Coturnix japonica: one gene and its partners. Each later gene encodes a partner of the first gene's protein in a complex. Links are inferred from orthologs where the notes say so. Each region holds a gene or a part of one and is shown in the gene's direction. Other genes may lie near its edges.

Region 1 (2,236 bases):
AAGACTCTGGTGCGGGGGTAGGCTGGGGTCAGCATCATCCTGAGCTTCCCATAAGTCCCCATGAGTCCCCTTTGCTCAGAGCTGCTGGTATTTTGGACATGGAGAGCTCCCATCTTCTCCTTTGCCCCGAACCCATGTTGATCTCCCTCCTGCTGCTTTCCAGAGTGCTATGCTCCAGCTTGCTGTCACTGAAATAGAAAAAGAAGCAGCTGCTAAAGAAGTGGAAAAGCAAAACTACCTGGCAGAGCATTGCCCTCCTCTGTCCCTCCCAGGATCCATGCAGGAACTTCAGGTAAGAGCTGCTTTAGCCCTTTCAGAAAGTATTAGGCTCCACTACTCAGCCTGCTGCATTTACATTGTCCTTCCCATCTTGACCATTTCCTGTCCCTGGGGGCCTCTCTTCACCATGGAGGCAGAGACAGGGACTGGCACCTCTGGGGTGTGTTGGGTGGTGACTGGCAGTACAAGGATATGAGGGCAGCATTTGTGTGAAGGTGGGTGCACAAAGACCAGAAGCTGGGTTGCAAAATACCTTTCATAGTCTGCAGTTGTCTGGTATTGAGTGGTGGTCTGATCCTTCTTCAGCCTTTGGGATTAAGAGAGGTATAGGGGTCTTTCAGAGATAGAGGAGAAGGAAGTGGTCAGGAGAGAGGAATTTCCTGGCGTGCTCTATTATTCAACATCCGTCTACTTTTCCTCCCAGGAACTGTGCAAAAAGCTTCATGCCAAGATAGATTCAGTGGATGAGGAAAGGTATGACACAGAGGTGAAGCTACAGAAGACTAACAAGGAGGTGAGCATGCACTGGAGCATCTGGCTCATCCTTTGTTCCTCTCCATGCTGCTTGTGCATGGTCTCTCTCATGAAACTCACGCCCTGCTCTTTCTGCCCACTTCTCTCTTGCCAACAGCTGGAGGACCTGAGCCAGAAGCTGTTTGACCTGAGGGGCAAGTTCAAGAGGCCACCCCTGCGGAGGGTCCGTGTGTCAGCTGATGCCATGCTGAGGGCTCTGCTGGGCTCCAAGCACAAAGTCAACATGGACCTCCGGGCCAACCTGAAGCAAGTCAAGAAGGAGGACACAGAGAAGGTACCACTTTCACTCCCATTAAGGCATAAGCTTCCAACTTTTGGGGATGACATCTCCCTGCAGGCAGACCATGAGCTTATCTCAGTAATGTCCTTCCTGCCTCATGTTTTCTCCTCCAACTCTCATGTAGTTGTAAACACGGAGTCCAGCCCTGAAAAACATACAGCAGGGGTGAAACTGGGAGTCCCTAGCTAAGTTTTCCAGGGGAGGTGAAGTGTTGAGCATTTGAAGTAAGGTTCCCATAGGTGGATGGGTAAAAGGGCACTGTTTGGGTGGGTCAGTACCCCATGGGTTCACCTCGTCATGCACACTTATCCCTTCTGCAGGAGAAGGACCTCCGTGATGTGGGTGACTGGAGGAAGAACATTGAGGAGAAATCCGGCATGGAGGGCAGGAAGAAGATGTTTGAGGCTGGCGAGTCCTAAGCACTGGTCTCTCCACTCTTGCCATTTCCACCCTCTTCCATCCCCTCCTGAGCATGGCCACAGCTGTGAGCATGGCCACGTCCCTGCCCTGAACCTCAACACGTCCTCACCATGCATTGAACCCACTGACTGGGTGCTGTTTCTCTGGTTTTGTGAAGAGCTGCAGTCTGAAAGCAGCAGTGTAAATAAAGCTTTCATGGGAGAGGGGGATGTGGCCTGCTGTGGTGGGGCTGAGGGTGCTTAGGGCTGTGGGAACACACTAAGGATACCCATCTCCATTGGCAGGCTGCTTGGGGGGGGGTTTCCTTGCCTTCCTCTCTCTTGGCCTCCATCTTGTCATGGGGTGGAAAGGCCTCTCTTTTAAGCTGGAGATCCATTCTCTGACTCATAGCCTGTGTCTCCCATCACAGGAGCTACTGCACTTCAGGAGCTACCAGGGTGAACAGAGTGGGGGGATGGCGTTTGGGGGGTGGTAAGGAACCATCTGCCAGAGGAAGGAAATGGGTGAGGTCATGCCACAGTGCTGTCGGCTGCTCTACCTCCTCCTGCTTCTGCTTCTTTTTTGGGCAGGAGTCTGTGGGTCAGGAGGTGGCTCCGACTGGTCATTGCATCAGGGTTTGTGCCCATCATGCTGTTCTGTGTCTCCTCTCCACATCCTTCACCTGGCCCAGAGCAGGGAGCACCTTTCTGCCTTCTCTCTCTGGACTGAGACCTGCTGCAAAGG
Region 2 (4,191 bases), on another chromosome or scaffold:
GCGGTGCAGCACAGTAAAGCAGTGCAGCACAGTAATGCGGTGCAGCACAGTTAATTGACGGATGCAGCACAGGAAAAGCGGTGCAAGGCACGAGCTAATTGCTCGGATGCAAGCACAGTAATGCGGTGCAGCACAGTTAAAGCGGTGCGCAGCACAGTAAAGCGAAAGTGCAGCATCAGTAATGCGGTGCAGCACAGTAATGCGGTGGCAGCACAGTAATGCGGTGCAGCACAGTAAGCGGTGCAGCACAGTAAAGCGGTGCAGCACAGTAATGCGGTGCAGCACAGTAATGCGGTGCAGCACAGTAATGCAACACGGCGCCGTGCTGAGCAGTACGGAGCCGTGCAGTGTAGTGCTAACGCAGCACTGTGCAGTGTAGTACTGAGCCGTGCAGTGCAGCGCTGTGCAGGCTACATGGGCACCAAGTTTCTGGGCGCTGGTGCTGTCAGCCGGGCTGCGGGGATGCAGCGGCCTTTGTGCCCCCGCTGTGTCACCGAAGCACTGAACAATCCCCGTCCCAAAGGTCGGCGCAGCCCGGCGGTGCCCGCAGACATTGCAGACATTGCTCCATTGCAGCCTCTGCTGCACATCATTGGGCGGGTGCACAAACCCACCGTGGCTCCGGCCGCCGCTGCCGGGTGCTCAGCGGGTTCGGCCAAATTCCGGCTCGCAGCCTGATTTCTTCAGCCGACAATGGCTTTTATTTGCGGAGTTGAAGCCCAGAGCTGCCCCCATCCGTGCGGCTGTGCTGCCAGCAACACCGAGTCCACCAGAGGGAGCGCTGCACCCCCAGGAGCGCTGCCCGCCCGCGCCGCTCCGGTGTTGGTGCATCTCCCTGCCCCGAACAGCCGCTTGTCGCTGGGGTCGAAGCGCCGCCGGCTCCGATCGTGGGCTGCTCCATCCGCGCGGGGCCGGGCCGCAACTCGCCGCTTCCAGGAGGACGGGAATCCAGCCCAGCGAGCAGCGCCTGGCAGCAACCCGGAGCCGTTCGCAGCCCCGGCCGGACCCTCAATGCTCGGGGGATGCTCCCGGTTGGATGCTCCCGGTTTGCCCCTGCCCGGTGCCGCGCGTTTCCCCCGGCTCCTCCAACTTCGTGGTCCCCGACCCCCGGGGCAGCGGTCGGGCTCCGTCTGACCTGCGTTATTCAGCGCGGCCAAGCGGCCCGTGGCGATGCGGCACGGTGCCACGCAGCCCGGGCACGCGGCGAGGCGCTGTGCGGGGCCGGGCCGTGGTGGGCTGGCGCATCCCGTCACCGGCCGCTGCCCCCTATATCAGTGGGGCCGGCGGGGCGGCGGCGGCACAGCGTGTCAGTGACGCCCCCCGGCCCTTCGCTCTCCCTGCCCAGACATGGATGACATCTATAAGGCGGCGGTGAGTGCCCGCCCGGGGCCGGGATGCTGGGGAGGAAGGGGACGAGGAGCTGCCGGCACCGGGGCCGGGTTACGGGACGCCGGCGGGCGGCTCGGCTGGAGTCGAGTCCCCTCGTCTGCGTGAACGTCCCGGCGCTGCCGTGTCCGAACACGGCGGGGTGGAAGCGGCGGCTGCCGGCTGCGGGCACATCCCGGCACGGCACCGCGTCCCACGGAGCGAACGTGATTCGCGTGGGTTACAGAATGATTGATTTGCACGGCTGAAAGGGGATTAGCGAGAGTTCAACCTCACCCTGTCGCTACCGGAGCTTTAAAATCATAAGCGCCGTTGCTTAAATCCCCCCTTCCTCAGCTGAGTGTTTTTCGATGAGACTTTTCAACTCTCTGCTTTGTGCCGTGTTTCTGCCTGGTCCCTCCGCTGCCCGCAGGAATCCGGGCTGGGACTCGGGCTCTCTGGGAATGCGGAGCATCCGGCAGCTGCGCGCAGCGCTGCCCCGCGCACCCGGAACGCTCCGGTCCATAATAAGCTCAGCGCATCATTCTGTAATTTAGACAGAGCGATATGCGGGTGTGATGGGGATGGAAATAGATTCTGTGTGAATCGCTGCTGTGTGCCCGGAGTTAAAATACACCGTAAGAACTGAAGGGTGACTCTTTTTAGTTGTTTTTAACATAGAGTTGACCGGGTTGAAAAATACGTCCTGCAATGACAACTCCAAGAGGTTCAGAGGGAATAAAGGACTTTGCTTAGTTAAACAAAATGGAGGGAAACGAGATGTTGGCAGCTCTCCCTGTTCCCTGGTCAGCCCTTATAGCTGTGACCCCTCCCGGGATCCGGACAACATGTGAGGGATGGGCTGGGAAGCGCATGACGACGTGCTGAGTGCCCCGAGGAGCATGAGGAAGGGACAAGAGTGCGCCCTGTAAGATCAGTGGAAATCCAGCCCGTATAATGAAGCTTTTTAGCTAGTTATGTTCCCTCATGGAGCAGGTCCTTGCTGTACTGTTTAGGGACTTCATGCATTAATTATGAAGAAAGCCTGGGGTGCCTTTCCACCCCAAAGTGAGCAAAAATCCACAGTGAAGGTCATCTCTAGCTGAAGCCTGTAGGTTTCAACCCGAGCCTCCTCCATCTGATAGCCCAAGCAGTGTCCTTGACCTGAGGAATAAGTTGGTGGGCTCTGACAGGGAGCTGCCAGCGCAAAAGCAAAAGGAGAAGAGGCAGAACATGGCTGTAATTGATAGCTGCTTCATGAGTCTGTTCCCGAGATTTTAACTGTAGGAAAATATCTGGCAAAATAAATAAATAAGATCTGAAACTTTTCGTGCCTGACTTCAAATGGAAATATGGGATGGAGAAAAGAGCAGAAAAAGCAAAATCCTGTGTGCTGGGTGTCTGCCTTCCCAGAGCGCAGCAGGACAAACCATTCCCAGGCTGGAGGCAGAGGAGAAAAAAGGAGAAAGCTGTGAACTGTGTCTGTGACCAGGGGCACAATAAACAGCTTGGGAAAAGCCGTGTAGTAAAAGCATCGCTGTGTGGTTCGGTTCCATCCAGCACAGCTCCACATCCATAGTGCTGTACAAAGCCAACATGCAGTAGTTAGAAAAGCCTTGGAAGTAAGGATTTGTTATTTGCTGCGTATATTGATGGCAGCAAACCTACAGGGGTATATACCAACATTATATCCATGTCGAATTCCCTCGGTGCAGCCGCAGAACCCAGTGGGCCTTTGTCTCACCCACTCATGTCTAGATAAGGGTGTGCAGGCACAAAGCTATTTCAGGAGCATTTTTCAGTTCTGTTGAGCGGTGCAGAGTGTTGCCAGGGACAAGTGTCAGAATAACAGGCTGCGGGGCCGCATACCAAAGGCCTGGGAACAATCACAGGGCTCATCTTTATCTCCGGCACCTCCCTCATCAGGGCTTATTAATAGCGAACGCTGCCAGGGGGTCAGGTTACCCAATGGACTGTGGCCATCGGCTGAGCTGCCCAAATGATGCCTGCTCAGGGCTTGGGGTTCTTCCTGCTGCTTTTGCTTCTCACCCCACAAAGGCTCCACAGGGAGCTCAGTGCTGCTCCCTTCCCAGTTCCTGCTAAGATAAAGCACTTTCCCTGCTTTCCAAGTTGTTGTTTGCCAAATCACTGCTTTTTGGGTGGAAAACCATCGGCCTCGCCTCCAAGACAGAGTACTGCTGGGCTGAGGGGTTCTGCTTCAACCCAAACACGGTGGGAGTGGGTGTGGGGGTGTCAGAGACAGCGTGGGAGGAGCATGTAATTGTAAGGGATGTTACTGAAGGGACAGGTGGATGCAGCGCTGGGGCACTGACAAAGCCCATGGCATGGCGGTGTGCTCCAAGGGGATCCGAAAGAAATTCACTCCAGGAGGTTCTGGTGGATTCCTCTTTGCTCTCCTCATCAATTGTCATTAATTGCTGCTAATTGATAAGCTCCCACCGGTGGATGGCAGGGGTAGGAGTGGGTAGATGAGCTGGGTAGGACTTGGGAGCAGTCTGCCAGCTCAACTCATCCAGCTCTGGGCGGCTGCAGGGACCATTTCTTCCAGCTGCTCCCATCTGCCTCAGTTTGCTTCCAGTTCCAGTGCCCAGGTTCAGGGAATGACGGTGACTGCAGCCTGCTGCTCCTCATGCACCATAACCTGTCTGTGGCATGTCCCCATTGCACTGAGGTGATACACTGACCAAAGAATTTACATGAATATTCAGGGTGAAGGAAAACAGGATGAGGGGAATAGAGGCAGAACCTTATAAGAGCAAATTCTGATTTTGGTAGCCAAGACCTTGATGCTTATGATTGTTTATT
Region 3 (3,873 bases), on another chromosome or scaffold:
GCCCACCCTCAACCCCGCTCCCCCCGCTCAGCCCCGCTGCCGCTGTGGGCGCTGCTCTCCGTACCGTACCGCGCTGTGCCGGGCCGCTCCGGGCGGTGCCGAGCGATGGCCGCTCCGCCGCTGCTCGTCCCGGGATCCTCCCTGCGCGGCTCCGCCTCCGCTGGGAACCCGGATCGCGGCGGGGCTGTCACGTCCCGGCACGGCGCAGCGCGGCTCGGCGCGGTCCGGCTCCGTCTGTGCACGCACAGCCCGTGACCGATCCCCGGGCACCGCTCCATGATGGTCCCCAACCTCCGGTGCCCCGGCACCCTGACACCTCGGTACCCCAACAGCGCAGCGCCCCAACACCGCCACATCCCGGCACCCGGCACCCTCAGCCGGCACCCTGCCATCCCCAGCCTCGCCACACGCTCCTGCTCCTGGGCTGCAGCCATGGCCGCTGCCTGGCACTCACCGCCCTTATTTAGCACCATCCCCGCTCTGTCCTCGCTGCTTTCTTGGGAATGTCTATTAATATCGAGGAATGGTCCAGCTGCTGCCATCACTCTGTCCTTGCTCCTTGCTGTGCTGTGCTGCCCCATCCATGGGGTGCCAGCAGAGCTGCCCCAGCAGAGGGTCCCGAGGGACCGACAGCCCTTCTGCAGCCACAAAACCCTTTTGGAGAGCTGCAGGCTGTGGGCCACTTGGCCAGCCAGACCCAGGGCCACGGACCTGGCAGAGCCGCAGCCTTTGAGGAGGCCACGGGCATCGTTCCCACTCCCCAAGTCACGGAGCAGCCGTGCCATTTCTGGTAGTGGCTGCCAGCAGAGTGGGAACCCACAGCAGTGCCAGGACCCACTGCAGGGCCACGCTCCTCACCCACCTGCAGCTCACAGTGATGGTCTGAGGGCTGCAGCTTCGCCTTGACCTCTCTAGGACAGAAAGGAGTGAAAGGAGGGACTGATGGTTTGGGCACAGCCAGAGTAACTGGGGTGCTGTGGGGTAAGGGATGGGACGTGGCCCCAGTGCTGCCTGCTTGTCCCAAGCCGCGGCACCTGGGTTAGCAGAGGTTCAGGCAGCACTACCCAGCCCTGTCCCTAATGCCTGGCATGGGGGAAGCCCAGTCCTGGTGTTGGGGATGCTGCTCTTTGGGGCTATTTTTAACCCCCTCCATGCTGAGCTGTCCTGGAACAAGGAGGTGTAGATGAAGGAGCCGCACTCCTGCCAAGATGCTGCGTCCCTCCCTGCAGGGCTTGAATTTCTATCCCGGCTTCAGACCCACGTTTAATCCCCTGCTCTTGGCCAATAACGCTTTGGCTAAATTAGGTAAAATGAGCCCGTTGCCAATGAGCGGGGCCGGATTTCCACCAGGGAGCTGATAGGCTGCTGGGGCTGGGGGCCAACGGCTGGGGGCACGGGGACACTACAAATTGGGGAGCCAGGGAGTGTGCGGGGGCTGCTGGTGCAGGAGGTGCTGACTCCCTGCAGGAAGAGAGCAGCAAAGATGGCGTCAATGGTAAGAGCTCCAGTGGTGCTGGGTTGAGCTGTGGTTGGGCCGGAGGTGTTGGGCACCGCGGTGTGGGGCTGCCAGGCACCTCTATGGGGCGATGGCAGAGGGATGATCCCTTCAGGCTGGCTATGGCAGGAGGTAGCATGGATGTAGGGGCAGTGGGATACGTTCCCCATGGCGTATGTCCCCCTATGGGATGTGTACCCCTATAAGATGTGCCCCAAAGAGGGAGTGTGCGGCTGGCTGGGGGTAATTAATGGGTGCATGGGGCGATCAGAGCTGGAGCTGGGCTGTGTGAAGGCGCTGAAAGCCGAGCGCTGGGTCATGCGACACCTCTGCGGCCCCAGACAGCCCGCGCCTCCAGGAGAAACTCGATCCAGGGCAAACAGGTGCCCGCTGAGCTCTGCTCCCTATAAGGGGAGTCGAGGAGAGTCCAAAAATAGTGTCGGGTGCTTGGGATGCCAAGGCAGCATGGCGGCCTCTGCGTCATGGACCACCGGGGGGCGGCTGCATGGGGCTCAGGGCAGTTGAGCTGCATGGCTGCCCGGGGCCTTGGGTCACTCAGGGAACAGCCACGTGCTGCAGGGCTGAGCTGGACGAAGGCTTTGCAGCTGCACCAGGGAGGCTGAGGCTTTGCACTGTGCCAGACGCTGCTGCAGAGCCCCATACGCTGCTGACCCTGGGCAGGGGCTGTGCTGACACACAGCATGGGGTGGGAGCTGACCCCTTCTCCCTGTGCCTTACAGACAGACCAGCAGGCGGAGGCCCGCGCCTTCCTCAGCGAAGAGATGATTGCTGGTGAGCAGGGAGGGGACAGGGCCCCATCCCAACACAGAGCCCGTCCCAATGCCCGTGTCCCAGCACTGACCACTCTTCCCTGCAGAGTTCAAAGCTGCCTTCGATATGTTTGATGCGGACGGTGGTGGGGACATCAGCACCAAGGAGTTGGGCACAGTGATGAGGATGCTGGGCCAAAACCCCACCAAGGAGGAGCTGGACGCCATCATCGAGGAGGTGGACGAGGATGGTGAGTGGGCTCCATGGGGGTGGTGGGTGTCTGGAGTGCTCAGCCTGACCCACATCACGGTCCCTCCCCACAGGCAGCGGCACCATCGACTTCGAGGAGTTCCTGGTGATGATGGTGCGCCAGATGAAAGAGGACGCCAAGGGCAAGTCAGAGGAGGAGCTGGCCAACTGCTTCCGCATCTTTGACAAGTGAGTGGGGCAGCGCCTGGTGACACCCGTCCGTGGTGGTGAGCGGGGCCGTATCCTGCCCTTCCTCTCCCACAGGAACGCTGATGGATTCATCGACATCGAAGAGCTGGGTGAGATTCTCAGGGCCACCGGGGAGCACGTCACCGAGGAGGAAATAGAAGATCTCATGAAGGATTCAGACAAGAACAATGATGGTCGCATTGACTTCGATGGTGAGCGGCAGGACCTCACCCTGCAGCTTGCTCAGCCCCTTTGGGCTGCGTGTGTGGCACAGCTGGGTCTGATAACGCCGCTCTCTTGCAGAGTTCCTGAAGATGATGGAGGGAGTGCAGTAAGGGATCAGACATTCCTTGGGCCGCCTGCAGCAGCCAGCCCTGCTCCTCCGCCCAGGACTGGCCCCGCCGCAGAGCCTGGCCTCGCTGCCACCCGCTGGAGCCCTGCAGCAGCTCGTGCCACTCGGCTGGCGGCTGAGCTTTTCCTTGACTCTGACAGATGTGGTTTATGGATGAACCTCATTAAAAGGGGGAAAGGCTGAGCTGCCAGTATGGGAGTGCCTGGGGGGTCTGTGGCACTGTACCCCATGGAGGGGGACACGGGGGTGTGTGCAATGCCGTGCCATACCCTGTACCAGCCGGGCTGACCTGTGAGTGTGTGAGCAGTGGTTCCCATGGGCTGCTGGGTGGGCGCCAGGCAGCGCTGAGCTCAGAGTTTCCATCAGGAGCACTCGCTTCCCACGACAGCAGCAGCAGGGAGCACAGCCCTGTTCCTCCCAGGGTCCCAGAAGGCAGCACTGGGAGGCTGCTCCTGCTCACATCACAGGATGTGTGACCACACTGGATTTTGGAAGGGGGAGAGAAGGGGGCCAAGCACTGCTTAGGTTTCTGATTGAAAGGATGGGGTATCCTGACACGAAAAGTTGGGGACTGCTTCCCAACCCTCCAAACCTCAAGACAGCAGCCACACCTCTGCACAGGGATTAAGGCAATGCTGAAAAGCCAGCCTGGTTGGTGCCAGCTCTCCCTGGGGACCCGTGTCTCCGTGCAGCCTCTGGAGCTGGGGAGGAGCACAGCCACAAGCGTGCCAAGATTGGGACGTGCCCTGGGCCGGGGCTCACAGGGAACACCCAGTGCCTGCGGGAGCAACAGGACAGGCACTGAGCAGGACCCCAG

The links.
Region 2: the proteins of TNNI2 (region 1) and TNNC1 are in contact, whole or in part, in an NMR structure (PDB 2MKP), measured with the Homo sapiens proteins. The link is inferred for Coturnix japonica from reciprocal best matches to the Homo sapiens genes TNNI2 and TNNC1. Residues at the interface, in NP_001139301.1 of Homo sapiens: Arg116, Met117, Ser118, Ala119, Asp120, Ala121, Met122, Leu123, Ala125, Leu126, Leu127, Lys130, His131, Lys132; in NP_003271.1 of Homo sapiens: Asn18, Glu19, Phe20, Ala22, Ala23, Ile26, Val44, Met45, Met47, Leu48, Gln50, Pro52, Glu56, Phe77, Met80, Met81, Cys84, Met85, Lys86, Asp87.
Region 3: the proteins of TNNI2 (region 1) and TNNC2 are in contact, whole or in part, in a crystal structure (PDB 1A2X), measured with the Oryctolagus cuniculus proteins. The link is inferred for Coturnix japonica from reciprocal best matches to the Homo sapiens genes TNNI2 and TNNC2. Residues at the interface, in NP_001076252.1 of Oryctolagus cuniculus: Glu5, Asn8, Arg9, Ile11, Thr12, Arg14, Arg15, Gln16, His17, Leu18, Lys19, Ser20, Val21, Met22, Leu23, Ile25, Ala26, Glu29, Leu30, Glu33; in NP_001076114.1 of Oryctolagus cuniculus: Ser13, Glu15, Met16, Ala18, Glu19, Ala22, Lys91, Leu96, Glu98, Cys99, Arg101, Ile102, Phe103, Arg105, Ile119, Phe120, Ala122, Ser123, Glu125, His126, Val127, Glu131, Ser134, Leu135, Asp138, Phe152, Met155, Met156, Val159, Gln160.

What each region holds. Positions count from the first base shown.
Region 1 is NC_029520.1:10,463,709-10,465,944, forward strand, and holds the end of TNNI2 (troponin I, fast skeletal muscle), read left to right. Parts: intron 1-163; coding exon 164-292; intron 293-703; coding exon 704-793; intron 794-910; coding exon 911-1,087; intron 1,088-1,413; coding exon 1,414-1,512; 3' UTR 1,513-1,720; downstream 1,721-2,236. UniProt on the Homo sapiens protein: Troponin I is the inhibitory subunit of troponin, the thin filament regulatory complex which confers calcium-sensitivity to striated muscle actomyosin ATPase activity.
Region 2 is NC_029527.1:240,631-244,821, reverse strand, and holds the start of TNNC1 (troponin C, slow skeletal and cardiac muscles), read left to right. Parts: upstream 1-1,265; 5' UTR 1,266-1,347; coding exon 1,348-1,371; intron 1,372-4,191. UniProt on the Homo sapiens protein: Troponin is the central regulatory protein of striated muscle contraction. Tn consists of three components: Tn-I which is the inhibitor of actomyosin ATPase, Tn-T which contains the binding site for tropomyosin and Tn-C.
Region 3 is NC_029535.1:9,485,619-9,489,491, reverse strand, and holds TNNC2 (troponin C, skeletal muscle), read left to right. Parts: upstream 1-1,390; 5' UTR 1,391-1,483; coding exon 1,484-1,495; intron 1,496-2,235; coding exon 2,236-2,287; intron 2,288-2,372; coding exon 2,373-2,516; intron 2,517-2,589; coding exon 2,590-2,704; intron 2,705-2,779; coding exon 2,780-2,916; intron 2,917-3,007; coding exon 3,008-3,039; 3' UTR 3,040-3,239; downstream 3,240-3,873. UniProt on the Homo sapiens protein: Troponin is the central regulatory protein of striated muscle contraction. Tn consists of three components: Tn-I which is the inhibitor of actomyosin ATPase, Tn-T which contains the binding site for tropomyosin and Tn-C.